Lytechinus pictus: one gene and its partner. The protein of the gene in region 1 purifies or fractionates together with the protein of each later gene. This does not show direct contact. Links are inferred from orthologs where the notes say so. Each region holds a gene or a part of one and is shown on either strand. Other genes may lie near its edges.

Evidence for each region. The genes of interacting proteins can lie anywhere in the genome.
Region 2: the proteins of FAS-associated factor 2-like (region 1) and ubiquitin-associated domain-containing protein 2-like purify together in Homo sapiens (affinity purification with western blotting; 7 studies listed by BioGRID and IntAct, with this or other methods). This does not show direct contact. The link is inferred for Lytechinus pictus from reciprocal best matches to the Homo sapiens genes FAF2 and UBAC2.

The regions. Positions count from the first base shown.
Region 1 is NC_087245.1:41,343,662-41,351,144, forward strand, and holds the start of FAS-associated factor 2-like, read right to left. Parts: upstream 3,011-7,483; 5' UTR 2,988-3,010; coding exon 2,940-2,987; intron 1-2,939. UniProt on the Homo sapiens protein: Plays an important role in endoplasmic reticulum-associated degradation (ERAD) that mediates ubiquitin-dependent degradation of misfolded endoplasmic reticulum proteins.
Region 2 is NC_087260.1:29,144,910-29,152,146, forward strand, and holds the start of ubiquitin-associated domain-containing protein 2-like, read left to right. Parts: upstream 1-4,234; 5' UTR 4,235-4,323; coding exon 4,324-4,360; intron 4,361-7,237. UniProt on the Homo sapiens protein: Restricts trafficking of FAF2 from the endoplasmic reticulum to lipid droplets.

The sequences.
Region 1 (7,483 bases):
AATAAGCTATAATTGCCAATTTGGGGTTTCAAACTTATAATATAAACAAATTTTGAATAATATAGTTATAAATTGGTTTTATGTGTATATTTGATTTATGATTGTAAAATAGAATCTATTTAGGCAAATGTAGATATCTACATGTACTTAGAGATACAATTCGTCGCCGATAAATTTAAAACATAGTAACATACAGAGAAAAAAAAATGCATCAACTGGCACCAAACTAGTTCAAATACTGTATTGCATTTCCATAAAAAATAGTCACACCACATATTTCTTGGTAATTCCAAAGCTAAGACAAGAAAAGAGGGATCTGTTGGGGACTTACATGTTATGAGCATCTCACTGCTGAATAAAGTCTTTAATGAACTAATTAATAGAAGCCATATTAGAAGCCCTATATATAGAAGCCCTATATGTAGTTTCAAGCACAATTGAAAGACCTACATGTAAGATCTGCTTTGTCATTTCTCTCTTCAAACTTGCCATACTGCCCGGGGGGGCCACTTACATTGACGAGTGGATACCATGCGCGACCAAAAAAACACGTAAAAAGGATGTCTTTTTCAAGATAGGGCACGTTACGTATGTAACGTGATAAGGGTGTCAAAAACACAAAAATATTGAAAAAAGGGTATCTATTTCGCTCGGAAAAATATACGTGTTTATCAGAGACTGATAATTTTGATTTTGGTATCCAATTTCAGAGACAGTCTCCAAGTTTTGGAGACCAATTTCCTTTATTTACATTTACAAAATCAAAATGTTTTATAAAGGATGTCCTTTTTGCCCCAACACTACGTGTTTAGAGTCCGATTTGCGCGAGATGTGGAAGGTGGGGTCGTACTAAACCAAAATAATGGTGTGTAAAGGTACAACCGACGACCAACGGACCCGTGACATAACAATAAAATATCGCTGTACTTGTTTAGGGGTTCATTTCAGGGAATACTTGCCAAGAGTATCGTTTTGTTTCCAATACTTGTTAAGGGGTGCATTTTCAGAATAGTGGAAAATACATCGCTGTACTTGTTTAGGAGCTCAATTTTGGGAATACTTGCCAATAGTATTTGTTTCCAATACTTGTTAAGGGTAGGGTTTCACACGCCAATACTTGTTAAGGGGTGCATTTTCAGAATATGGAAAATACGTGTTTAGGGTGCTTTTCAAGACCCCGTGGTCGCGCATGGTATCCACTCGTCAATGGAAGTGCCCCCCCCCCCCCCGGGCCGTACTGCAACTCTCAACCATTGCCTTAATGCTGAAATCACAATAGTTATTGTTATTTGTTAGTATTGTTTGTTATTTGATTACATGAGTCCTTTCTGAATGTATGAATATCTTCCTGCAAGTTACTACAGTACATGTATGTATAACTGACATGTAATGCACATTGCTTATTAGGAAAGGACACTCTGCATGCGCGATCATACAGCCAGGTATATTGCTCTTTATTATTAAGATTGATTAGTAAAAATTAATGATAAAGCTTGATTACATTTTAAAACCATTAATTAGTTACAACTTATCTAAACTATCGATCATTATTATGAATTATCAATGGAAGTTAACAATATAGTATTATGATTGGTAGGTGTAGTCCATTAGTGTGCTTCTCCTGATCATCCTCCCCCCCCCCCCCCCCCGCACATGTTGCTAATTAATCCCTAATTACGAATGGAAACAACATTACTTATAAAATCTTTTTTTGTATGACTATATTGCTCTCATAACAAGCTTTATTTTGACACCAAATACAACATCACATCTTGTATCAGCAGAGAAAATTAAAGGAATATACCCCAAAATTGTCCCGCAGATGTCACAACTCCACCTATTTACCAGCCCAATTCAAAACGCATTGCCATTTATAACCTAGGTACAGGGACATCTGAACAGCCCACATGGACAGCGATATTCTATTTTGGACATCCACATGGACATCTGACCTGCCTATATACATCGAAACCTGTAGTGACTGTAGGGACCATCAAAGGGAAACATAAACATGGCTTTATAGACACATGGCTGATATTGACAGTAGGGTTGCAAAATTCCTGGGAATTTTCATGGTAGATACTTTCCATGGGAATAAACAGGATTTTTGTGGGAATTTGGGGAATTTTCGGCAATTTTCAGGAATTTTTCAAAACACATTGTTACATTAACATTGTATATTAACAATGTTATATATTAACAGGCTATTATAAACTGGTAAATGGAAGCTTGGTTCTGACAAGTCCAAGCCTTGACATTTGCAGTAAAATGGAAAATAGTGTAATGCGATGTTTTATTTTTTCATGTTGAATTGATAAAGCTTCATTTTGCACATCATGCCCCATCATGTTACACTCACAGTAATGTACATTTATGTATAATACATGTATACACTTTGATGAATACCCTAGGCAAGTCAAAGAATAAAGAACTGTTTTATAAAAATTAAAAGTATGATATTTTAAGATATCAATTTATAAGTTTGTATTTATTTTTAAAAACACCATTGATAAGTTTTTGTGAAAAAATGAAAATTCCAGAAAATTCCCATATTCCCGGCAGCTGAAAATTCCCCAAACTTTCCAAAAATTTCCGGAAAGTTTCCAAGTCCTTTGCAACCATAATTGACAGGTTTTTTATACACATAATCTGCCTCCACAAGAACCAGATCTAGTGGTCACTACAGGCAGGTGGCTGCTATACATGTAGACACAGATTTAACTGTACAAATGGCCGATTCCAACAAGTGGACATTCGACCAGTGCCAGTAACACAAAGCTTAACGATTGATCATAGAATAAAATAAAAGCTTACAATACAATTGACTGCATTGACCACAATGTACAATCAATCATAAAAATATCAAAGCTCCTAATCAATCGCTACACTTTTGTGTTTAAGGGGCCATGAAGTATTTCTTTGACAAGCAGAGATCTCACCTCAATATTCCAGTCATGCTGATCCAAAATGTTGCGACATCTCACCATATCCTCAATCCCAGTAAGATCCTGCAGCCAAAAGAACGAACCATACAATATTATAATAAAAATAATAACATCGACTTGCAATGCATGTGATACATAGACTAAGTTTTCTGTTTAAAAAAAATTCTTTTTGGGGTAAAGTCCATGATTGCAACCAAGTGATTGGTCTGCTACGAAACCTGTTACTCATTTACTCATTTTTATAACTAATTCTTTAATCCTGTATATGCCTTAGGAGTACTATAAAGGTGAAAAAACAGGATTAATCCCCCATTTTTTAATCCAAATTCCAAAATGAATGTGGTTAATGTGGATTTTCTAGGGAAATTCATCATTGTTTACCACATTCGACACACAGGTCCATACTGTAGACCCCGTGTCAAGGCTCCATGATGACATGACGAAGACAGAGAATCTTATGATAAAATATCATCATAGATTTCTAGAGGCTAGGGGTGCATATGGTCTTATGGGACTCTTGCCAGAAGGAGGACTGCGAATAATGAGAAAATGTTAGAACACACAAAAAAACCAGAACAGCCGATTTTCCAGTCTTGATTCTAGTCTACGTTCTAAAGACTAAAATAAGTTTAGCACTAGCAAAAGCATAGCACTGCACTTTAGTTTAGCAGCAAATGTATACAAAGGAAATTAATTGGTCTCCAAAACTTGGAGACTGTCTCTGAAATTGGATACCAAAATCAAAATTATCAGTCTCTGATATAATTGGAGATAATCTCCAACATGGAAGACACTCGTCCAGATTGGCTTTGCACCAGACCTAGGCCCTAGCCTAGGGAATCAAGGTGCCGTTTGATAATTTGTTTTGATGATTTCGAAATGGTAAAATCAAAAACAAAATTTTGAGTGAAAACTTATGCTATTTTTTAGATTTAAAAAAGAACAAGTGGAGCGCCTCTGGCAGTCTCACCTGCATCACGCGATTCAATACAGCAGCAGTGCTGACTTTGAAAACTAATATAAAATAATTATTCACAAAAAACACCATTCATATGATACAATACTACGTTCATTGTCAATAAATGATATTTGACCATGATCATGCTACCTAAGACTTGTCAGTAATACTTAATTACCCCTATATCCACATTTTATTTAAACTATATCTATAAACTTTGAAAGTTATGACAGCAATCTAATAATTACATCCAAATGGCCAAAGTTCAATGACCTTAAATGACCTTTGCCTTTGGTCATGTGACCTGAAACTTGCATGAGATGTTCAGTGATACTTGATTCCTCTAATGTCCAAATTTTATGAAATAGACCAATACACTTACAGAGTTATGATGGTAATTCAACGAATACCCCCAAATTGGCCAAAGTTCATTGACCTTAAATGACCTTTGACCTTGATCATGTGCCCTAAAACTCACACAGGAAGTTCAGTGATACTTGTTTACTCTTATGTCCAAGTTTCATGAATCAGATCCATAAACTTTTAAAGTTATGATGGTAATTCAACAAATTCCCCCAACTTAGCCAAAGTTCATTGACCCTAAATGACCTTTGACCTTGGTCATGTGACTTGAAACTCTGGCAGGATGTTCAGTAATACTTGATTAACCTTATGTCTAAGTTTCATGAACTAGGTCTATATATTTTCTAAGTTATGATGACATTTCAAAAACTTAACCTTAGGTTAAGATTTCGATGTTGACTCCCCCAACATGGTCAAAGTTCATTGACCCTAAATGACCTTTGACCTTGATCATGTTACCTGAAACTCAGGCAGGGTGTTCAGTAATACTTGATTAACCTTATGGCCAAGTTTAATGAACTAGGTCCATATACTTTCTAAGTTATGCTGTCATTTCAAAAACTTAACCTTCGGTTAAGATTTGGTGCTGACGGCGCCGTCGGAAAAGCGGCGCCTATAGTCTCACTCTGCTATGCAGGTGAGACAAAAACGGTTGTTAATCAATAATTTCCTTTCAGGAATGTAAGAATGTTAAAATTTGTCCATTGATCTGTTTTTCATATTTTAAATTTTAGTTTTTCCTTTGACAAAATAGAAGCATTGAAATTCTTGTTTACTTTTTCTGTCTTTTCGTTTTATTTTTCATGAACAGAGAACTGATCTCATCTTCTTGTTTCCTTTTTCTGTTTCGAAATCAGAAGAAAAAAATTATTTGATCATACTGCTGTCGTCGTACAATCAGATAATTAATTTGCTTTGACAAAACATGATAATGAAACCAAATGCGCGTGCGCTGACATTGCATAGGGCAGCTACACGGATAATCACAGCTGACCAAAAAGCAGAAATAAGAGAAAAGGAAGAACAGGAAGAAGAGGAAAAAGAAGAAGAACAAAGAAAAAGAACAAAGAAAACAAAGAAGCAGAAGGAAGAAGAAAAAGAAGAACAAAGTAGAAAAAGAAGAACTAAAGAGAAGAAAGAGAAGAACACAAATGTGAGCAGAAAAATGAAAAGGAACAATAAGGAAAGGGGGAGGGTCGACAAGCAATCAAATCAGTTGACAAATAAAAAAGAGGGTTCTACCTCTGGCACAAGGACGGTTCAGTTGTGTGTGTGTGTGTGGGGGGGGGGGGGCTATCAAAAATTCTACTCCCGCTCAGAACTCACAATGTTTGACTGTTAGCTGATAGAGAGATGCAGTGAGTGTATATTGCTGATCAACCCCGCCCCCAACCGTCCTTGTTGTGCAAGAGGTAGTGCACTCCAGTCAGTAGGCAGGTCCCCAAAAGTGGCTTCTTTCATCCAAGTGATATTCAGGACTACAGAGGTTTTGCATATTTAATGAGCTTGATGCGGACCAAAACACCTCTTTTAATTTGGTAATTGCTGCTCTAAATATACATTAAAGTTTATGATTTTGGGATCATTGCAAAGAAGAAGAATCATTCTTTTGAGTCATGTGTTTGAATTTATTCAAAGATTTTGTAATGTAGGTGAAACTTTTGATCTAAAATATGCTAAAATCATTATTTTCGCCTGACAAAATTTATATTTACACTTTATTTTTGTTTAAGCCCAAATGATTTCTAGATCATGATAAAGCTGAATATCTATGCTTTTAAATGGTATAGGTTTCAAAACAAGAATAGGTTTAATCGGGTCAAGATCACACTTTTCATTGGCAAAGTTCATTTAAGCAGCTTGAAAACAAGAATACTGCACTCTGATTGGTCAAAGAGACCACACACTCAACAGTTCCAGTGCTGGGTTCACGGCAAGGTCACACTTCCCATGTGGTAATCAAATCAAATCACTCGCGTTTTTTGTTTTGAAGCCTTATCCAGCCAATCAGAACACTAGATTTCATGCTACTCCAAAATTTTAGAAATCTCTTCTTGTACTTTGGTGGGAAAAGTATGATCTTGACCCGATTAAAAGGTGCCGCATATTAAGAGTGACATTCCGAGAAAGTACAGAAATTCAGCTATAGGTGATATAGATATCTTCAAGGCTCAAAATAGAAAGTTTTCACACTTTGCAAAAGAAAACAGAGGAAGAAAAATTCAGTTTTGATGCACAATTTTCAGGCCTGACATTCACTTTAATATTTATCAAAATATTTTATACAAAATAAATGACCAATGGTATGAAAGAGAAACAGATTTATTCTGTCCAATTGTGCAAAGTTATTTAATTTGACTTGAGGATAAAGTAGGTAAATTTTTAGAGAAAGAAAATCTAATGATTCACAAGATTTTGCTGGGAATCAGCCTCGAAAGAATTTGGATGAATCTGGCCTATTTGCTCATTAGTATAGGCATACATGTAGGGACCTCTTTGTTTACTTGTCAATACCTCCCTTTCCTTATTGTTCCTTCTCATTTTTCAGCTCACATTCATGTTCTTCTTCTTCATCATTCTTCTTCTTTTTCTTCTTTCTTCTTTTTTTTTTCTTCTTCATGTTCTCCATTTTCTCTTCTTATTTCTGCTTTTTTGTCGGCAGTGATAATTCATAGCTGCCCTAAGCAATGTTGGCATACAGGCACACGGTTTCATTATTCTGTTTTGTCAATGCAAAACTAATTATCTAATAATCGTACCATGATATGGCAGCGTTACGATCAGATAATTCCTTTCTCTGATTTCAAAATAGACAAAGGAAACAAGAAGATGCTTCGATTGTCTGTTTTGTGAAAGCAAAAAAAAAAACCAGCAAAAAGAAAAAAGAAAGAATTTTAATTCAATTTTCTGTTTAGTCAAAGCAAATAAATAAGTTAGGCTTACCGGTACATTCAGAAAAAAATGAAATATGACAAAACAGTAAAACGGAAAAACAAACCATTTTTAACTATCTACATGTATGTTAGTCATTAGATCTAACAATAACAAGTAACATATCTAACTCAGTTAAAATGCTAGTATCTATTCTAGACTCACTTTTACTGGCAAACACACATTTCATTTCTGAAACTTTGAAAGTGAAACAAATTATTGAATAACGACCGTTCTACTATTTAAATCTCAGTTTCCACTAAATAGTTTATCACTTCTTTTTTTT
Region 2 (7,237 bases), on another chromosome or scaffold:
TCACCTTTTTATGTCATGAAGATCAACCAAATTGATCTTTATTAATTATTTAATCGATCTAGGGGTGAACTTTGGTGGACAGAAAAGGAGAACGGGGTCTAAGATGCCCCGAAACATTGGGCGTGCATCGACATACGTTATAATCCGATTAGTTAACTTCGTATGGGCTCGTAATAAATTCGCCAAAAATCAAAATCAGCCCATATCTCTTGTGACTCCATAATTTATGATATATCTTTATCCATTCATTTGGCGATTTAAGGTTGAAAAATAATGCACCAAAAAGGGAGACGGTGTGTAGGAAGCCCGTAAACTGAAGGCAGTGTATATTGACATATCCGATTAGTTTAATTTCTGTAGGCCTGGAATCGTATTCAATTCGCCAAAAATCGAAATAAACTTTATATCTCTTTTAAACTCAACAAACTTGAACTTTATTAATCTCTGCATCTTATATAGGGGTGAACAGTGATTTATAGAAAAGAGGGATGGGTTTAAAGGTCAAGTCCACCTCAATAAAATGTTGATTTGAATCAAAAGAGAAAAATCAGACAAGCATAATGCTGAAAATTTTCATCTAAACCGGATGTAAAATGAGAAAGTTATGACATTTTAAATTTTCGCTTATTTTATACAAAATAGTACAAATTAGTCACATGCTAATGAGAGAATCGATGATGTCCCTCACTCACTATTTCTTTTGTTTTTTGTTTTTGTTTGAATTATGCAATATTTCAATTTTTACAGATTTGACAATAATAAGGACCAACTCGACTGAAACATATAATGTTAAACAGTGGTAATTCCACATGTTCAGTGAGAAATGAAACTTTGTTTCACAGGACAATGAGGAGAAAATTAGATTATTTCATATTTCTTATAATTAAATACAAAAGAAAAAGTGAGTGATGTCATCAGTTCTCTCAATTGCACACCGACCGGGATGTGCATATAACTATTATGTGAAAATAAGCAAAACTTTAAAATTTCATAGCTTTCTTCTTTTACATCCGATTTTGATCAAAATTTCAGTGTTATATGTTCAATAGGATTTTCCTGTTTTCAAATCAACTTTTTATTGGGGTGGACTAATTGTCCTTTAAGATACCCCGAAAGTGAGGTCAAATAAGTGGGGCGTACTTTGCTTCGCCGGATTTTATTTTCAAGTTTTTAGACACATTCAACTCTTTTTTAAGATGCTTTATTCTTGGCGATAAAACTGGTGATTTGCAGTTTATATTTCAACATTGCTTCAAGTGGCCATGTGGCAGATCCAGGATTTTGTCACATCTTCCTGAAAATTCAACAGCGAAAAAACAGGTCCTTACCATTTAAACATTATATACTCTGTCTTTTAAGGTGAGTGCACAAGTTTTCATTATACTTCTCAAAAATGGAACCGGCCGGATGTTCTCGATCCCCCTTTTAAGATCCATCAGTGATATCAACAAACATGGAGACACAGACAATATTTACGTAATCATGAATAATTGTATAGACTTACATGTAGAAATGCACACAAAATACAACGTTCGGATTAATTCGAATTATATTCAGGTTTTTGTAAAAAAAAATACTTAAATAAGATGTAAAATCAACCAAGAAAACTTAATATGTTTGAATATATATGATTGGAAGAGTTATGGCAAGATAAAAGATGCAGGATGCATGATGAAGTAAAATATAATCTATTTTAGACATTTGAGAGAGAGAAGGAAAGCGAGGAACAAAAGATAAAAAGGGGAGAGAGGGAAGAGATAGAGAATGAGGATAGAAGATATCCACTATCATATAGCATTTATTTCCAAGCGAGACATATGAAATTGGTATAACATGAATGAAAATAACTGTACATGTATATTATATAAAAGTACGGTAAAGATAGATAGATGAACGGTATTTACCATGATAACGTTCAATTCGCAGCCAATTAAAGCTGAATAAGATAGATTTGCACATGCGGAGTAAAATGGCAGTATAAAAACAAATAGTAAAACAATATCAACAAAAACAACGTATATCAATGCATAATATAAGGAAAGGGATGCAAAGATAAATGCATACAAAGGAAGAAAGAATTAAGGGAATTAGAGATCAAGCACTGACTGTGAAGAATTACATTTTATACGGAAAGTTTCCTTCGTTTCACTCCTAATTATTTGTTATTTCGTGTTAAGAAAGGTACCATTTCATACAATCCGCTCTTAACATAGTGAAAAATAACACGGATATGTTATTCTTTCAGTATTGCCCAAAATCATATATAATCATGTTAAAAATATTACTTGTGTTAAAATGCTTTAACTTGAGGCTACTCATATTCCAACAATTCCACTTTGGTTAAATTCGCCGCTAATCGAAATCACCTTTTTATGTCTTGAAAATCAACCAAATTGATCTTAATTAATCATTTCATCGATTTAAGGGGAACAGTGGTGCATAGAAAAGGGGGACGGGGTCTACGATGGCCCGAAAGGTGGGGGTGCATTAATATTGACGAAAATACGGCGCCTGCTATTATGGCGTGCTATATGTCCGTGTATATTCCAACAATTCCACTTTGGTCTGGTAATAAATTCGCCGCTAATCGAAATCACCATTTTATGTCTTAAAAATCACCCAAATTGATCTTTATTAATCACTTCATCGATTTAGGGGTGAACATTGGTGCACAGAAAAGAGAGACGGGGTCTACGATTCCCCGAAAGGTAGGGGGTGCATGGACGAAAATATAGCGCGTGCTATGTATTATATCCGTGTATCCCAACAATTCCACTTTAGTCTGGTAATAAATTCGCCGCTAATCGAAATCACCTTTTTATGTCTTGATAATCAACCAAATTGATTTTTATTAATCACATCATCGATCTAGGGGTGAACATTGGTGCACAGAAAAGGGGGACGGTGTCTACGATGCCCCGAAAGGAGGGGGTGCATTGACGAAAATACGGCGTCTGCTATTATGGCGTGCTATATTATGTACGTGTATTCCAACAATTCCACTTTGGTCTGGTAATAAATTCGCCGCTAATCAAAATCACCTTTTTATGTCTTGATTTGACGAAGTACGCCCTCTAGCGTTATTAGTATACATCTCTATGGCTGGCTTGCTTCAATCAACGAATTGTTAATTAACTAGGGCCCATTTCTCAACACATGGACAAGTTAGTCATATCTTTATCCACCAACCACGGAGTTAGTTCCAATCTTACTAAACATGTTTCTCGAAAGGTTTCCTAACTAGAATACCTTGATATCGATACTATCGGTAGAACGAGCAGACGAGACGTAGCCTTAGTCACAAAATAGCATAATATTAAAAAAGAAAAATTATTACAAAATTGCAAATATTGTGATAAATTGGGAAATAAATCTTTTCAAAATAATAGCACAGGTGAATTATGCATCATACATACTTAGACCATGAAGACTTGAGCATTCAATTGCAGAGAAAATTAAATTATGAATAATTCATTTCATGACTAAAAAATCACTTGTGGACGTTGAGATTGGGTACCCCCGGGATATCCAATTTTAATAGTTTACGAAAGTAAACCATAACGGTTTTCTTTGTAAAATGATGATAATTATGCGGTCTTTTACGATTCCGAACGTCATCAAAATATAGTTTAACGAAACATTTTTAACCATTGATACCGAAACATACGATATTTGACAAATTATATGCATAAATTAGAGATTAGAATTTATCCAACTGTTAATAGGGGTCTGAAAACAACAAATACGAGTTCAGTTATGGATGGCCTGACGTGGTAGAATATTTATCGATTAAATCATTTTACTATTTCAAAATGAATGGTTTTGTGGCGTTTTACCAATAGTTTTTATAGTTTCTTTGTATTACAATTATCATTGAATGCATTAACCCACTTGTTTTGTGATGTAATTTCAACCTCTATGATTGATTACGTAAGATTATAATTTTAAAATTTATATGCGCTTTTGCATGTCATAGTCTACCCACGTGATGCCACTACGTCATTAAGAAAGAAGTTATGACAGGTTCGGAGGTGTCATAAATATTTAGTGAGGTTGTTGTACCCGATCTTGGTAAAGAGGGCTTCGTGAAACGGTTAGCGGACAAGTAGCTCACTATCTCCGATTTAGTCAAGAAGTTAGACTTATGACGGTGTTGAGAAACGGGCCCCAGTGTCTGTACTGTAGCTGTGCGCAGCTGGGTTTGTGCGCTGGCGCTGGCTTCAGCTAGCCTGGCATGCGTGAAACACGGATCTTGAAGTTCGGATTGTAAATCAACCCAGGAATCCAACTGAGATTTTTTAGCTTGTCTAAATCGATTTAAAGATGTCACAGCCATACAGTTCATCAGGGTTTTGTGAGTGTAAATCTTCTTCTTGAAATATTTATATTTTGAATGTTCACGACTATTTCCCGCAAAATAAGCGCAATTATGTCACCGTTGCTTTTCATGAAAATGAAAAATCACAGTCCCATACATTGAATACCTTGTATTATGATTTATGTTAGACCAAAAGCTTCGGTCTCTGTTATTGTTAATATGTTGGTTGTTCAGCTGAACTCCGTTGGCTTCACTCACCAAATACAGAGACCGAAGTTCTAGCGCGATCTGTACAGGGGACTCAATGGCCATATGTTTATGTACTTAAGATTGGATAAAACGGGGAAGTGAATTTACGCGACAGCTGAGGTAAGTCTGTTTTTGTTCCTTTTAACTTGATTTTTCTCAGTTTTTTGGCAATTAATGCCAAGAGGGAATATTAATTTGCATTTTGGTCGCGTTAATTTTCAAAAACTTTATTCATATTTAAAGACAAGAATTGAAGAGCCCAGACGGGGGGATTTTGCATTGCAAGTCCCCTAATGGTGGCTGCACGCTAGCTAACCTAGCCAGGCGGCTTCTAGAGAGTAAAAATCATTTACTAACGTAAGGTCACTCTCATGAAGCCAGGGCTTCCGTCATATACTTTTGTGTGTACCACCAAAAAACCTGAAACTTTCGCCCCCGAGATTTCTACTTTCTTTCTAAAAGATCTAGCCCTAAATCATGTACATGGGATAAAACTTCATTTCCGACATTTCTACGCTCTCGTTTTTATTTTTGAACAAGAATTCATCAAAAAAATGAGAGAAATATTGTGTAAAGACGGAAGAGACTTGCCCAATGTTTACGCCGCCATCTTGTTTCCTATTGTTCTTCGCCAACGTTACAGACGCGTGACACAATATTTCTCTCATTTTTTTGATGAATTCTTGTTCAAAAATAACAACGAGAGCGTAGAAATGTCGGAAATGAAGTTTTATCCCATGTACATGATTTAGGGCTAGATCTTTTAGAAATAAAAGTAGAAATCTCGGGGGCGAAAGTTTCAGGTTTTTTGGTGGTACACACAAAAGTATATGACGGAAGCCCTGGCTTCATGAGAGTGACCTTACGTTAGTAAATGATTTTTACTCTCTAGAAGCCGCCTGGCTAAGCTAACCCAGAGAGCTCCCGCCCGCGCAGCGGGCGGGAGCCCAGAAGCTTACCGTGTATTTTACCATTGTCACCGGACTAGGGTGATTTACGGTCTAAATATTTCTCCAAATGAATTGTGAAAACAGAAAGTATACAATTACCACGATTATATGGATGAAGGTCTAACGAGTGGCAGATTCCTGACATCTGGGCACAGTCTGGAACCTAAAAAAAACGAAAAGTTCTCTCCTTCTACCCCGTCTCGATCGGCCATTTTTGTTAAAAATCGTAACAAAATGGCCGAGTTTTTTGGTGGTACACACAAAAGTATATGACGGAAGCCCTGGCTTCATGAGAGTGACCTTACGTTAGTAAATGATTTTTACTCTCTAGAAGCCGCCTGGCTAAGCTAACCCAGAGAGCCGGTAAGCTTCTAAGCTTCTGAGCCGGTAAGCTTCTGAGCCGGTAAGCTTCTAGGCCGGTAAGCTTCTGGGCTCCCGCCCGCTGCGCGGGCGGGAGCTCTCTGGGTTACACGCTAGCGAGCCGTCTGTGTATGAGGAGAAATAAAAAAAATAAAAAAATGTTAAAAAACTCCTCGAAACAGACGGCTGCCAGCTGTCTAGATTTATGTAGGCCCTAGTCATGCTAGTACGGTAAATTCCTCACACCCACTCTAGACTAGGCACCATGCCTATCAATTCCTGTGTTAAAATAGTGAGTGCACGCGAATCAGAAGTTGGACTTAAATTACTAGATATTACCATGGAGCTCTATGACGAAATCTATTTTTAAATTAGACCCTAGATACTACTTATGGAAAATAATGTATAAATAGTACTCGCCTGGTCTTTTCTTCACTCTAAGCACCAAGGCTATTAATTCCTGTGTTAAAAAAATGAGTGCACGCGAATTAAATGTTGGACTTAAATTACTAGATCTTACCATGGAGCTCCATGACGAAATCTATTCTTAAATTAGACTCTAGATATTACTAAATTGAAAAAAATGTATAAATAGTACTCGCCTGGTCTTTTCTTGGGGTATTGAAGCCTTTTTGTCCAGAACTTGCTCAACTTTTGCGGCAAATTTTGTCGCCATAGGGTTGTGCACATTCTGGTTTAATACTGGTTGTCACGTGACACGGCAATGTCGTTAGGCTGTTTGGCCTGTATTCAAGGCGTTCTATCCGTTATGATTTTATATTGAATGAAGCAATTTCCATCAGGTATAGGCCCCTATCAAGTCAAAATAAATTAAGAGGCTTTTATAGGAGGAAATTATAATTTGTTAACAAATTTTCGGCATTACTCCTATTTCAAGGCTCCACATTAACTTTTTTTGGTGGTGGCCCGTTCGGGCCACCAAAACCATCAAATAATTTTTTTTGGTGGCCCGATATTAAAGTTTGGTGGCCCGAAAAATATAAAGAAAAACATTAAAAATGAATAAAACAAACTTCTGAAATATTAATTCTGCAGCCACTACCACTAAGTTACTTTCACTTTATACATCTTGTATGTAAACCTTGCTTGCTGTTATTTTACTTTGCTAGTTGATAATTGTTTCTATCGTTGTAAAAATGAAATGATTGAAAGTGAATAAATGAATTGTATTGTTCGCAGGTTGTGTGGACTTTTTTTAAATCTCTGTGTAGAGATAATGGTAAAGTAAATAAATAGTGCATAGCAAACTCAGATAGCTGTACAAAACAATGGTTTTTCCTTTCTTCCTCTTTGAATCCTAAAACCTAGATTATGCATGCCCCAAATCCAGTTTATTTCT